Linked DNA regions of Drosophila melanogaster. Changing the gene in region 2 together with the main gene of any one other region gives a genetic interaction. Each region holds a gene or a part of one and is shown on either strand. Other genes may lie near its edges.

Region 1 (6,027 bases), on a different chromosome or scaffold from region 2:
TACCATACAACATGGTAGTGGGGCTGTCCTTCTCATCACTGCTACTTCCGCTACCGCTTCCGCTACCGTTAACTAAAGTTCCGTTGATGTTCATCGACTTGCTGGCCGACTGCTGTGGCAGCTTGCCATTCTGCAGGACTCCGTTGGCCTTGCGCGCCTGCACAGTTGGTTCAATCGACGAGTCATTGATGGCCGATGAGTCCTCGTCGTCGGGCTTGTCTAAACAATTTTTATATCTACGCCGAAACCAAAAGACGCCGAGTATAAATGCTACACCGGGCAGTGAGAGGTAGAGTAGAGGACGACCGGATACCATTTTCGCTGAATATTGAAAGATCTGAAAGGGAGAAGAAGTTATATTAGTCTGTGCGATTTGAAAATATACTTGTGTACTGTCACACAAATAGGATTATTTTGATCACACTAATACTGAAATAAAAATGAAGTAGCTTTTGTTTGTGCAATATTTGGAAAAGTTATGGTTTGTTGTTTAATTTACAATTGGAAATAATGTGTGAACACCTCTTATCAGGGCAACAATTTACAAATCAAGTAGCGTCGTATATAATTACTTTAAAAAGCTTGTCATGGCTCAAGATAAGAAACGGTACACAATATGCAATTTTGTGTAGAATAACTTTGAAAACAAAGTAAAGAGCTTTGAATTTGCGTTTAAATTTAAGCGAGAATTTCAAATATGAAATCAATTTTGAAGAAAAGTGTGAGATTAAAGGGCTAATTTGTCAACACCATCCACATGAACGTTGTTTTTTAAATAACGACATATGCATGTTGTTATATTTGAAAAAACCTATTTAAAGGTTTCGAATTGGTTTTGCAAGTCACGAGACCCGCCTGCATGTGCTCGTCTGCATAAGTGTGCGTGTGTGTGTGTGTGTTTGCCAGTGTGTTTGATTTTGGTTTTTTCCTTTCTGAACTTTTGCGTATTAATAGCAACAAATAAATACGTAAATATAGACAACAACACAAATGCCGAGAGAGAGAGAGACAACGAGAGAGAACGACGAAAAAGGTGCAAAGCGATTTTTGAATGCCACGCGGAAGGGAAAAACGCAACGGGAGAGAGCGAGAGAGATGGAGCGATAGATCGCATGCAAAGAGCGCGTGCGCAAGAACGCAAAAGAGCGTCGGCGAAGAACGGAAGAGAGGCGCAAGAAGAAACCGTTACGTTTACGTATGGCAATGGCAAATGTTACGAAATCATTACAAAACAAAACTAAAAGTTACGAAAACAACAGCTTTGCCAGAAATTCATCACCTATTCACAAAATAAATGTGTGTTTTTGTATTACCACTAGGATAAAACTGAATTCGTTGCTTCTTCCGGTTTCGTTTGTATTTTATGTCGTTTTATGGCATCAATTCGCTTCGGCTTATTTTTTGGAGTTTCTTCTATGCTTTTGTTTATTTTCTTTCTTTTTTTGTTGGGTTTCGATATGCCGGCGAAATTGTTCGAGAGATTCGAGATATCGACTGCTCGATATATGAAGGGAAACTACTTTGCACGCCTTCTAATTGCCAATTCCTCTGGCTTTTTATTTGTATTATTTTTTTTATTTCGGCACCGATTCTCCGCTCTTCACTCCATCCGCTCTTCCGCATCGGCATACCCCCACCAACCCGCGAAAAAAGAGAGGATGCGTGGTGGCAAGTTTTTATTTAGCGCCCCTTTCCACCCACACACACACTCATCCCACCAAGCGGAAACGAGACAGAAAGCCGGAGAGAAGAAAAGAGAGTGGCGAGCTCATTAGAACAAAGAAATCCGAAAACCGTTAATCAAAATCCATTCAAATGGATTGTAAGACGCTCCTTCGAATTTGGTCAAAATTTCCGGGGCCCGAAAAGTGCAAGTCATGCCGAACAGTAGTTTAAAGCCATGAGATCTTTAGTACTTTTAAGTTACTCACTATAGAACCGATTTACCCACTATACTCCCGCTTCCCCCCATCCACAATATCGTCACTTTGTTAGGGCCCAAAGGTCCTCCTGTTACACAGTGGTCAGATGATAAGCTCAATCGACAAGCAACTGAAACACAAACATACATTGTATGTATGTACATATGTATATGTATATGCATATGTATATGTATAAATGTACATATAGCGACAGATCAACGGTTGATGGGAGCATGCAGGGGGTGGGGGATAAGGGGCCTAGTGGGGTGCTATAAAATGGCCATGGAAGGGCAACTGGCCAGACAGCTGTGGCATTTCCTAATCGTCGAAACCGGGTGACGGGAATTTTTCAGATTACGTTTTATACCCTTTGCTTAGAGTATTAAAACTTGTTGACAAAGCTTGCCACATTTTGCCTAAAATTCTTAATAAATGGATATGCATAAGAGCAGGGAGAAGTGTAGTTTTACACGTATTCGTATCAACTCTTGAATTAAAACGACAAAATGTAAGATAAGGGCACAACAACTTCGCAATGGTCTTCTAGTTTTTGTTATTTTTTTTTTGTATTTCCTACACTGTAAGCTTGTTTATACATGAATATTGATGTGTCTGCGTGTCTCGGCATGCAAACAAACATGTTTAGGCATGTTTTTTGTGTGCCTTTCGGTTATTTGTTATTTTCTGACTTTGAACTTGCACATTGTTGTTGCTCCAAACTCGAATACCAGTGCGGCCAAAAGAAGAGGAAGCCGTCGAACGGGGAGGTGAAGCAACAGCCTAAAAATTTGAAATTCCCCCGAACAAGCGAGAATGAGCGACACAGAGAGGCAAGCCAGAAGAGAGCACCAAAACAACAACAAATCAGGTGCAACAACATTGCCAGCTAGCCGAAAAAGTCCACATTGTTATAATCTTGGCAACGTGGTTTCCGATCATATGGTGGCCAAAAATGGGCGGGGATTGTATAATCGGGGGATATACTACTTTATATGTGTATACATATGTATGTATGCATAGACGCAATGTTTTCTTTGTGGGAGTGGCAGCTCCTTTTCGCCTTTGTTCTCTTTCAGGCGTAAAAAAACCGAACATTAACGGTGAAAGCTGTAACACACACAGACGCACTTATGCTCGGCATGTGTATGCGTGCGATTGTGGGTGTGTGTGTGTGTGAGTGCTGTCATTGTGTAATCGCCGAATTGAACTCCAAATTTTTTCCATAACCACTTACTGTCACTTTGCCGGAACAACAACAACAGCGGCAAGGCAGAGTCATACACTTAACAAAAAGTTGACAAAAAAAAGGTAGTTAAAACGTTGGCTATGGTACCGGGAAAGAGGTGCGAATAGAGCTCAAGACACGGACATTGGAACAAATCCACACAGAACAGAACATGACACCATTTTCCGTCACATCTCTCTGTTTTGGCAAACACACACACGCACTTTTTTTGTACTAGGTTATGTTCCGCGTGCTGCGATTTCTTACCTTTGTGAACCGCTTGGGTAACTTATTTTGCTCACTATCTTTGGGTGCTTTCAAAGCTATCTACTGCACACGCGAGTTGTGTATTGTTTTTGCTTATTTGCTGGCGATTTACTGTCGTTTTCTCAACGCTAAAGTGCTGCACGAATTAAACACGTGTCTACGTTCCACCTTTTACAAATCACAATAACATGGCCGGCGTGCGGCAGTGTTGCCATGCATCCGCAAAACTCTGGCAATCGGAGCTGCCTGCTTAATCACCCGCACTCGCGATGGCCAAATCCTCGAATTACAAGAGCCTTTGTGCACACAAAAAAAAAATATAGAAAAAATCACTTCACAGTTTGAATCGCAGCCCAATTATTTCTAGAAAGCCGAAAAACGTGTGCACGGAGTGCTGGTTATCAAATCGAATGGCAGCACATGCACAAACAGGGCTGCCCACGCTCATCGATAGGTATCGATTGGGGCAATAGGTATTTTCTTAGGCGGCGTTGCCACCGAATGTGCACAAAAGTGTTGCAAATTTCGCGATATTTCGTTACGATATTTTGTGGAGCAATACTTTTGGGCATTTGTAATTTTCCAACGTAGTTCTTGGGAAGTTCTGATTTCATTTTGTCTTACCACAATATGCTTGTTCATGCGAATTTCAGCCTATTTTTTGTCAGTATAGCGCACTATAAATCGATAATTTCGAAATAATATTTATATAGGAGCAGATAGCGACTTCAATATCTCAAAGAAAACAATCACTAAAAATCTTCTTTTTAATTTAACACAGTGATGTGTGTAATTCCAAATGATATTTTTTTAAATTTATAAAGCGGCGCAAAATAAAAAAAAGACCAAGCTAGTTAGTAGTGAATGCATACATAGATTTTTGAAATCCCTTCAATGATTTAATTACCTCCTGTTTGAGCGAAGAACATAAGCAGTGTGGATAATTAATTAAAATAATAATAATAGCAATTATTTGCAGCATAAGTTGAATGATATAAATGAATTATTTGCACATGTTTCGAGACCCTATAGTTTCTGACAACGGTTCAAATTGACCACACGCGAGATTTGCGACGAAAATAAGCAACGGTCACACTTGGTCACGTCGTTCACGTTTTCTATTTACGCATAAACGAATAAAAAGCGCCTAAAAGTGCTATAAAACATATATGTTGTGTGCTCATGTGCTACACATATCGCAGCGAGTAAATTTAAGGTAGTAGGCAGATCTTGTTGTGCATGTGTGTGGGTAATCACAGTTCTAGTTTTGTAATTTTTTATATTTCCTACACTGTAAGCTTGTTTATACATGAATATTGATGTATGTGCGTGTCTCGGCATGCAAGCAAACATGTTTAGGATTGTTTTTTGTGTGCCTTTCGGTTATTTGTCATTTTCTGACTTTGAACTTGCACATTGTTGTTGTTCCAAACTTGAATACCATTGCGGTCAGAAGAAGAGGAAGCCATCGAACAGAGAGGTGAAGCAACAGCCTAAAAATTTGAAATTGACCACACGCGGGAGTTGCGACCCAAATAAGCAACGGTCACACTTGGTCACGTCGTTCACGTTTTCTATTTACGCATATACGAATAAAAAAAAGTGCATAAAAGTGCTGTAAAACATATATGTTGTGTGCTTACGTGCAACGCATATCGCAGCGAGTAAATTCAAGGTACTACTCAGATCCTGTTGTGCATGTGTGTGGGGGTAATCACAGTTCGTGTCTATGTGTGCGTGCGTATGGGCTTGATTGGTTGGGTGCGTGTATGAGTTCGGGGTCCTTTGGATTTTCGAGAAATCATCGCAAAAAGGGTAATACATATATGTATGTATGTTTGGGTGGTCAAACAGCGGGGGCACTCAATTTCGCTGGCTGGCAGCGGGGCGACGAACTTAACCTCAAATCCTGGGTCACAGTTCCAAACGTGACGAAAGACAACAAAGCAAACAAAGCCAATAGGGTCAGTCTGTCGGTGCGAGTTCCAATCGAATTCAATCCCGTTGCCAGTTATACACATCGATAGCCGAATCGGAAGAGCAGCAGCAGGGTTGTGACTATAACGATTGCATTCGAAGCAATTCGAAGATTTGAATCTGTGATTGGAACGCTACATATTCCTTCCAGAGCGCGCCCACAAGGAGGCCAAGGCCAAGCAGCTACCTTGCCATGGTAAAGAAGCGTCAGGCGGACAGTCGCGACCACGATTGCTCAACGGATTCCGGCAATGAGGATCTGCATCATCGAAAAGGACTCGGCTCGCCCGGTCAGTCGGATGGCGCCACCCCCACCACCGCCAGCTGCCAGCACATCAAGAAGGCGGTGGACGCGGCCCGACTAAGGCGTCTACTGAAGTCCACGGGTCTACTCTACGAGTGCAGCCAATGTCAGAAGCTGGGCAAGACAGCGGGCAGCGCTGCGGGAGCGGGAGCGAGTGAAGGAGCTGTCGGTCCTGGCGGAAATCCGGTCACCTTCGAATTTGACAACACCCTGTGGCTGTGCCTCAAGTGCGGCAGCCAGCTGTGCGGGAGGGCACGCCACAAGCACGCCTTAGAACACTACCAGGTGAGCAGGGATCTAGTTCACTTAAGCCAGTTGCAAACGACATTCTC
Region 2 (8,996 bases):
CCACCCCCACACAATGTTAAATAAAACTATGTTTTAAGCTCGGGACATTTTGAATGTCACACGGCCAGACGGTTTTATATTTAAACCTAATCGCTTGGTTATTTATTAAATTATGTACGATTAGCCATGAAATGTATCAAGTTCATGAGATAAATTCAATTAGTACTATATACCCAGCAGCTAAAACGTATATAAAACATGCTGTTAAGACTGATGCTTTTAGTTTAAGTTGCAAGAGCAGCAGGAGCAAAGGCATGGAGGATTGTGAAATAATTGGAATGATATTCGAAATCATTGGGGATATGCTGTTTGGCAGTAAGTGGGAGGACATGGGAGAAGTGGAGCTGGATAAGTAGTAAAAAAAAAGCGGACATTATAGTCAATTTATCAATAAATAAAGAGGAAATCACTTCATATTATTGCAGGTGATACCTCATCAGATGATGATTACGATGAGTCGAGCACCTAGATTATTATTATTTTAATAATCCGCGAACCTAATAGAAGTTATCAAATGGATTAATCCAAATAAACCATACAAAGTATAATTAACCTTTGAAATAATGCTATAAATACAAAACGAAAATTGTGAAACTACCAAAGTACAACCAACAATATGGACTGTTGTGAGCTGCCGGAAATATTTTTGAGCTTCCTCAACGACCTTTTCTTCTCAGACATAAGTAATGAATTTGTAATGCTATCAAAACAGGGCTTTTTAATCATATTACTATTTTATTTTCATTTTTTGTTTGTAAAGCTGATGCGGAGTACTTGGGCGATTATTACGACAACTACAATTGAAATAGACCAGCGATCGTGAGCAAATAAAAAATTTGATATGAGCATTTACCTTTAAAAGCTTTTCAATACACAAATGTGTACTCGTATATTTGTCCCATTTCTGACCCAGATCATGCAATCATTTCTGATTCGAATTAAGTCCGAATTGGTTGAGCGTTTTTGGTCATGGCTCATTAAAGGGGTCTGGGTCAAAACCGATCTCGAGCGGTAATGTCATTGTACTTCGTTACAAAACGCTGACAACACCGGATCGAAAATGTTTTGGGATCTGCTTGGTGGAATTTTCGAGTTTCTTTTCGGGCTCTTGTTTCCTAGTAAGTTTCGTAGTGACTCAATATTAACTTCAATGGCCATGTATTTACCTATTATTTACCTATTTTTGCCACCAGGTTCTGGTAGTGGGGATGAGCCAGACTCCGAGGAGGTCGAAACCACTTGATGGCCTACATATAAGTTAATATATTTATATTTCATGTTTTTGCTTTATTATATCTACGTAAAATGTGTATGTTTAACATAAATTGCTTCAACAGTTACTACCTCTTCATAGTATTCATTGTGTTGCAATTGAGGATATGTACAGTGCGCACTCGTTACACGCATTTCAACATGTTTATAATCTAAAAAAGCTTGAATTGCTTTTTCAGCTCCATTTTCTTCCATTTCGGCAGCTCGTCAAATTCATAAAAGGACATATTAAACACTGACACAAAATCATCGTGTGTTAGGTGAACCTGCGGTTGGAAAACAGCGTTTTAAAAAAAGGAGATATTCGCATTCTATGTTTAGTTGAACCCACCTCCCTCTTGAGCGGATTAATATCTGGTGGCAGCATATCCATTTCCTGGATGAGCACGGTTAATGGATACTTTTTGTGACCATCAAAGTCCTTCTGTCTGTTGTTCAGGATTAGAGCCGATCCTTCGCTTGCGAAGCAACAATTGCTGGTCACTTTATTTCCCAGATCCTTGCGCATTTTCTCGTAGGAATGGAAGTTCTAAAGTTATACAAAATAAGTTGGTTAACATTTGAAATCTTGGAGCCCTTTTGTTATGGATTACCTTGCCGTAATCGTTTTGCCAGGACTCGAAGAATCCCTTGAAAACATTTGGCTCCTGAAACTGCCTGACCACGGCCAACGCTGTCGCTGATCTGCGTCCGAATGGAGCATTTTGGACATAACTTTGGGCAATCGCTGTGTAGCGTTCCTGGTTTGGGGCCTGCGATCCCAGCCAGACGTAGGTGAGGCTCCCAGTGTCCAGAATATAGGTGCAATCCGAACTGAGATCCTGCTGATCGAATCCGAGAATCTCCTCGTATCTCAGCGAACTCTGTTGCCACCATACCAGAAATAGTTGTACAGGAGGTCTCGGTTTACTCGGAACACTGGTGTTTAGGTAACAATTATTGCTGAGAGTGGGTGAAATGTTACCACCATTGGAGCTACCATTGCACATGCTGCCGGCGCCACTGCTGCTACTGGTGCTGCTGGAACATGAGTTCCCATTTCCGTTGATCACTAGAGTTTGGTTGAAGTACATGGCCACCGATTGCCAGAACTCCTTACTTTCCTTGCCTTCGAGGACCAGAGAGTTTTCCCCCATCAGAGCTCCCACTGCTTTGGCCATCTCGCGGGCATCTCCCGTGCTACTTTGCCCGCACCACACCCAAACATGATTCGTTTTGATCACATAGCAATCTTTGGAGCTGATCGATGACAGATGTGTCTCCTCCACAGCCTTGGCATTGTAGCTAGCATCGCCATAAACTTTCAGCAGAAAGGTGTCCAGCAAGGCATTGGAGTTACCATTGTAAGGCATCTCGGTACGCTGACCGCGCCTGATAATAAGTTTTCCCTCGAAGATCTGAAGGAAGTGCGGTGGTTCATCGAACTCATAGAGCTGTACAAACATTCCAGGCTCCTTGAGCCCATCAAAACTGGCCTTGGCGAACTTGTCCGCCCGGGAAATGGACTCTACAGAGGCCTCCGAACCATTCCACTGGTAGATGATTGTTTTAATGCCAACGGAGGCCAAATCTGCGGGAACAACGGTGGCGCACTGAAGATGAAGTGAATTTATTGGATTGTACACAGAACTTAAGCTTATTATCTTACCTGCACGCTGTACTTGACCACGAAACTGGCATTGGTGGTGAACACAACCGTTTTTGAGATGGGCACCTCTTGCACCTGATCTCCGAAGACACGATAGATTACTCTTTCACCCCTGCCATCATCAACGAGCTGTGTATCTGCAGCCATTTTAGGGCGTTCGCATAGGGAATGGGCATCTAGCTTTCCAAACTTTGTGGACACTGGCTTATGTCCCCTGGTGTTCTCCTGCCAAACATTTAACCAGTTGGCAAAGAGACGCTTAAACTCCACGGGCTCGTGACCCTCGAGGACACGCACCACCAACGTATTATCCGGATATTTCTTCTTTTTAACAAAAGCTCTCCCATTTCCCATGGCAGAAAGGGCATCTGCCTGCGGTGCCTGGCCTCCTACCCACAACCAAATACTCTGGCCGTAGTTGTCCAGTAAATAGACTCCATGGGCATCGCTTAGATCATCTTTTGCTGGCATGCCCACATCCAATTGATCCAGGTGCAGCCTTCCCCGTTGATTGCACTTATAGATGCGGAACTTATTGCTATTGTAGTCGGCGTATTCGCTGACCAACTGACTGGCCTGACAGACCATGCGTTTCTTTAGCGGAAGCATGGTGTTCCACAGCTCCTTGTGCTCCTGGGACATGGCCTGCTCATATCCATCATCGACTATAGTGATTGGCGATCCACTGCAGTGCTTTTGGACCCAGTCGAGGGCACTTCGTCGTTCAATTCCTGAACTGGAGCGCCCTATCCAGACGTAGGTAAGATTATCCGTTTGCAGGACCATTACGTAATCCGAGTTAAAGTGCGACCAATCGATGGTGGCCACCTCAATGGATCGCAACCATTTGCGGGCGTACAATTGAAAAAGTCGTGGCCTCTGGGGCGCGCTTATTAGTGCTCCCGATCGAACACTGAAACGAAATCTGTATTATTTCCCTTCCCAGCGAGAGAGAACAGAGAACTTTAACTCACTCGTAACCCTTCTTGAAATACGAAAGGAATCTCGCACTCTCCAGATTCTGGGTCTCTCGGTAAATAGAGGATATGTTTCCCAGATACGAGTCCAGCTCCTGGATTTTATGAACAACATTGGATCGATTCTGCTCGCTAACATTCTTGCCCAGCCAGTAGTGGATATATCGCTCAAGACTCACATTCGGCTTCTGTTCGCGTGTCTGTAAACATGAGCATTAGTTAAAACCTTGCTGAAACACAAGCCAAACCAACTACTTACGATGGTTTCGTGATTGGCATAATGCCCCGACAAACTTGCTGCATAGATAATGTAGGCGCAGCTATCGTAGAAGGTGCCATAATGTGATCTTTGTACCGCCTCCAGGCGATCCTCGTCTATCTTCCAAATCGCAAAGGTAATCGCATGTTTAGCCACCTTCCGAAATGTGGCATCCACCTTTAAGTCCGGAATGGTGTTGGGACGGATCTCCTTAAATATGTAAATATGTAAATAAGATTTTTAGATCGTTCAATTGAATTTAATGCTATTTAATGGTATATTATGATGTTACGTATTCTATTTAATATGTTATGAAGGGAACACAGTCGTATGATGATTTAATTTACTAATTTAGTCCGAAAATAGAGTTCAAAATTACATGGGAAAAAGACACTCCTTTTCTTGGCTACTTTTCTCGATTTTCCTGAGATTATGCACTTCAACTTAAAGGCACGCAACTCGAACCAATCGAATAAGTCAGGTTTATTAAACGAAATTTCATGTGCAATTACCATTCAGTGCTCCCGTTTTCACTGCAAGTTGGTGACAATGTCACAATCAGGTTGCATGAACAGCACTTGCCACGACATTGAACACCTTTCAAACGATCGCCAATTGTTGCTGTCATGAGACACTTGAGACACAACGCCAAGGATAAAGAAATTGCTCAAAACTAGCAAAAGAAAAATGAAAACCAGAAACCCCAAACCCGAACCCGTCTGCAGAAGTGCTCTGCATCCGATTGGAGGAGGCGCAAGTGATAGTGAAAACCAAAAGTGAACAGGGGCGGGCCGTGAACCACATCCAACCACATCACGTTGGTGGTGCAGCCAGTTTTTGTTGGCCGCCGTCGAACATTAGGTTTTTATTTATTTATGGAACGCAGCAAAGTGGAAAGTGGTTGCATATACGCATACAATAGGCACAGACGCACTGCATCTTCATCTTCATCTTCATTTCAATCGTGATCTCGGCTAGCGGTTTGGGGTCAATAGGCAGGCTGCCTCTTTGGCTAATTAATGTTTTGACATCGGAGTCTGGTGTGCCGCGTTTCATTTGTGATTACATGGTGGCGTGCTCAGTGACCAAAGACGAGTTCATGCTTCGCCTGGCAGCGTTTGCTACTCCCACCAAATGACATTTCATGGAAATCACAATAGTTAATGACTGCCTTTTACTGGGTCTGCTCATAAATAAGCAATGCATAAAATGCGCTGCACACACCACATAACATAAAAGCATTTTAATTGTCGCCTGCGCGAATGGTGAAATAACTCGGATTACTTTAACTGGGCGCTTGGGTTAACCAGGTTTTCCAGCTCTCTGGCTCCATCATGATTGATTGATCTTCGCTGCCGACAGCTAAACTACATTTGTCATGCTCTCTCACAAAAAGTCAATTTTCTCTGTCAAGCGCTTAGCAAATTATAACATTTTTTTTTAAACTTTGTTTTCAGCAGAGACTTTCACAGCCGCCAATTATCAGCATTAATCTAAGCGAAAGCTGATCGCCGAAATGTTCTGAATAGAATGTTAAAAATAATTTCAGATACCCATCTATCTTAAGACAGCTATTGTGTTAAATTTTTACTTTCCTTGCGGTAAGGCTATTAACTTGATGGATGATGCTCAAAAGTTTAATTGCTGGCCATCGATGGTTTTAAACATTTGAAGAATTTGGACCACACTTACTTTTACTGCACAAGGTATGAAAATTTAGAAGTTCATTTGGAAATCGAACCCTTTTTTTTTTACTTAAGGAAGAAGTATTGAGTATTACAAGGAATTATACATTAATTTTAAATTTGCCGCAAGTGATTTGCCCAATTGATTTAATCAAATAAAAGACTGTCAATTTCCTTGCGAAAATCTTTATTAATTTCCCCCCTAATAATGGTGTCAACAAATCTCTTACAAGACCTGGGCAAACACCATCGTCAGGCGCTAAAATTGATTGTAATTGATAAACAAATAATTGCCAGCTCGTAATTAACAGCTGAAACTTGCTAAATAAACTTGTATAGGCTGGCCAAGATACTGGTAAATATAGGAGAGCTGATGGGAGAGATTCGAGACGCGAAATATGCATAATGAAAAGCCTGTAGTTACCGTTTCTTTTGGTGACAGCGATAGCTCCATGTGCGCGGATGTATCTGTATCTGAAAGATACAGCACAGCTGCCTTGAACTAGTTTTGATTTGTCTCCCCCTCCCCACAAAACCGATGGCAATTCCGATGGAAGCCGGCAGCAGCGCAGCTCAAAGTGAAATCCTTGCGAGTTTTCGTTTTGCCAGCGCTTTTGAAAAGCGAATGTCGCTGCCGCACACTCACTTCAAAAACACACACGCAGCAGCGTTTTGAGAGCGATCGGTTCGCTCAAAAAATCACGATACATAAAATTCGAAAAAAATTTTGAATGGGGGTGTTGATATCCCAAAAAACGTAGCCAAAATAGAGGCGAAACTGAAAGTTAAGCCAAATGCTAGCCTGGATTCGATTCAATTCGATTCGTTTTCGTTTTAACAGACACTCGCGATTCGCGTTCTTTTTTTTCCACAGCAGATTTTCCCGAGTCTCTTGCGAAGCGTCTTTGCCAGCAGAAAGCCAACTGCAGACTGGCCGCCTCGAAATGCCGCGCTCCAAGTTTATGGCCAGGCCAGCTTTGGTGTATCGCTGTACAACAGCTTCGAGCCAAATGAGCAAGTGGGAAGCACCACCAGCGACTGACTGTGTGACTCAGAAATGAATGAAAATTATCAGTTAGATTGTCGGTTTTCCTCTCCACAACCTTTCAGTTTCCAACCGAACTGGCTGAGAAAAGCAGAAAGCGCAGCGCACTTTGTTGCGGTTTCTTGGCCGTTTCCTTAACTTGGCCTGGCTCATGCTCTTGGTCTTGGGCCAACGAAACTCTGAGCTCTGAGTTCTGGGCTAAAGGCTAAGGGGAACAGGCTGGCAAACGGGGTCTAAACAAATTCTTACGGGGTGTTTGCTAATTCCTTCTATTAGCTCTCTGCGGATTAACAATTGCTTGTGTGAGCGAGTTTTGCTGGCTCCATCAGCTAATGGCAGGAGTTTGATATCAAAGGGTTTCAGAAATGTGTTGAAAAATCATAAGTGAAATTGCTAGTTCATTCATTTATGTTTGCATTTTTGCATAAAGCTTGAACTTTATTCAAAAATATGTGAACTATAGCATTAAAGTTCGTTAAGGAATATGTAAGTATGCATTAAATGCGTAAAAAACCTTTTTAGAACTAGTAACATTCGATGCTCCATTAATAGAGCATTGATTCTTCTACCAGGTGAACTCCACTTCATCGTTTTGTATCCAGAAACTGACTCCACACTTTCTGCTGCACCGACATTCTCCGCAGGCAATCAAGCACAAACAGTGGAGCTCGGCTGGCGGGGAAGTACTTATGTCCACATCGGTGTTGTACATTCCATCGATTTGCATCTCTCGGGTTTCCTACGGCTTTTGTCAACCGAGCTGACGCGCTCGACTGGCTTGAGTCCTCACTTTTATGATTTATGTTTGGAGATTGGCAGACGGTCATTTGATGGCCATAATTAACACGACTGGAGGGCGATTTTGGGGATCGAGGATGGGGTGTACCAACTGCGCCGGAGAAATGTGGTTAAATTATTTCGGGGGAACAATTTGGCAGCGATTTGTTTAGCAATTCAGAGCCGAGTTTCGACTCAATTAAGTCGAAAATGTCTTGTGTATGACTCGGTAATGAGTCGAAATGGTTTTCCAGTGTGTTCCAAAGCGTGAATGACACTAATGGGTCTGGCCCAGAGAACCGTGTATCTGTGTATCTTTGTAGCTTTGTATCTTCGTATCTGCGTATCCACATATCCACGTATCCGCATCTTGGCAAGACAATGCGATGCCTTTCAAAACCAACCAAAAAACACAACTCTCTTTGCTAGCCATGTTTCATGTTTCCATGATGTTTTTTCCCCAACTCTGGCCAACTCAAAACTCTGACAAGTTCAATCAACCGTTGAGGTTGAGGCGTGAACTGGGGAAATGGCGAGAAACATAACTAAAAAATGAAAGCAATTGTATATGAAAATGTAAATTGTAAATGCAAAGCATTTTTTTTTGTATACAGCTGAAAATGTGCGACTTTTAGCATGATGAAAAATTGCAATTTACGATTTATGATAATTACACACGTCAACCCGCAACAAGACGAACGACCAGGCCAATTGACTTTTCCTTTTAAGCCGAAAAAAAGGCAGCAAACCATTTGATTGTTGTTTGCCTCTCTCATTGTTGCGAGAAACACATTAAGACCATTTTGTGGCCACACGCGACATTTACGTAAAGTCTGGAAAAGCGTCTGAAAAGCGCCACAATAATGCAACATCGACTTGTGGCATTTTCATTTTCCGCAACTGCCAACGGGAAACGGCCAGCCGGCAAAGTACCGCTTTTGAATCTTATTTTTTTTTTATTTTTTCTCTCATTGTTTTCCAATGTTTTCCTCTAGCGGTGATTGTGCCAATGGATCTTTGCTCTTTTCCAGCCTTTTCATTAGCCAATTCTGAAGATGGCCAAGGAATGGCAAGCATGCTGCTGTCAGTGGCCACTCGATCTTCGGGCTAAAAGCAGACCACATTAATTGCCAGCCGCTCCAGATCCAGATTCTGGTCTAGATTCAGGTCCCAGACAGACTCCTCTCAATGGGGGGAATCTCCACTGGCAGTTTGAGGCATGATCGATGTATTGTTAAGTGGAGGTGGGTTGGAAATATTATGCCATATATCACTGACGAAAAACGATTTTTACATGACATTTTAAATATATACCCGACACTTGATAAAGACA

Evidence for each region.
Region 1: of qua (region 2) and spoon, changing one suppresses a phenotype caused by changing the other (phenotypic suppression), as found in Drosophila melanogaster (one study listed by BioGRID).

What each region holds. Positions count from the first base shown.
Region 1 is NC_004354.4:5,417,038-5,423,064, forward strand, and holds the start of spoon (spoonbill), read right to left. Parts: upstream 3,300-6,027; 5' UTR 3,202-3,299; coding exon 3,157-3,201; intron 2,060-3,156; exon of another isoform or gene 1,280-2,059; intron 338-1,279; coding exon 1-337. Other genes in the region: Usp16-45 (ubiquitin specific protease 16/45), read left to right, coding at 5,585-5,980.
Region 2 is NT_033779.5:17,485,537-17,494,532, forward strand, and holds qua (quail), read right to left. Parts: upstream 6,780-8,996; 5' UTR 6,296-6,779; coding exon 6,266-6,295; intron 4,367-6,265; coding exon 4,157-4,366; intron 4,098-4,156; coding exon 3,895-4,097; intron 3,846-3,894; coding exon 2,921-3,845; intron 2,865-2,920; coding exon 1,866-2,864; intron 1,802-1,865; coding exon 1,604-1,801; intron 1,539-1,603; coding exon 1,425-1,538; 3' UTR 1,270-1,424; downstream 1-1,269. Other genes in the region: CG43221 (uncharacterized protein), read left to right, coding at 255-315, 426-469; CG43645 (uncharacterized protein), read left to right, coding at 617-683, 761-804; CG43220 (uncharacterized protein), read left to right, coding at 1,061-1,118, 1,194-1,243. UniProt on the Drosophila melanogaster protein: Required for the formation of cytoplasmic actin filament bundles in nurse cells, possibly by regulating both the polymerization and organization of actin filaments.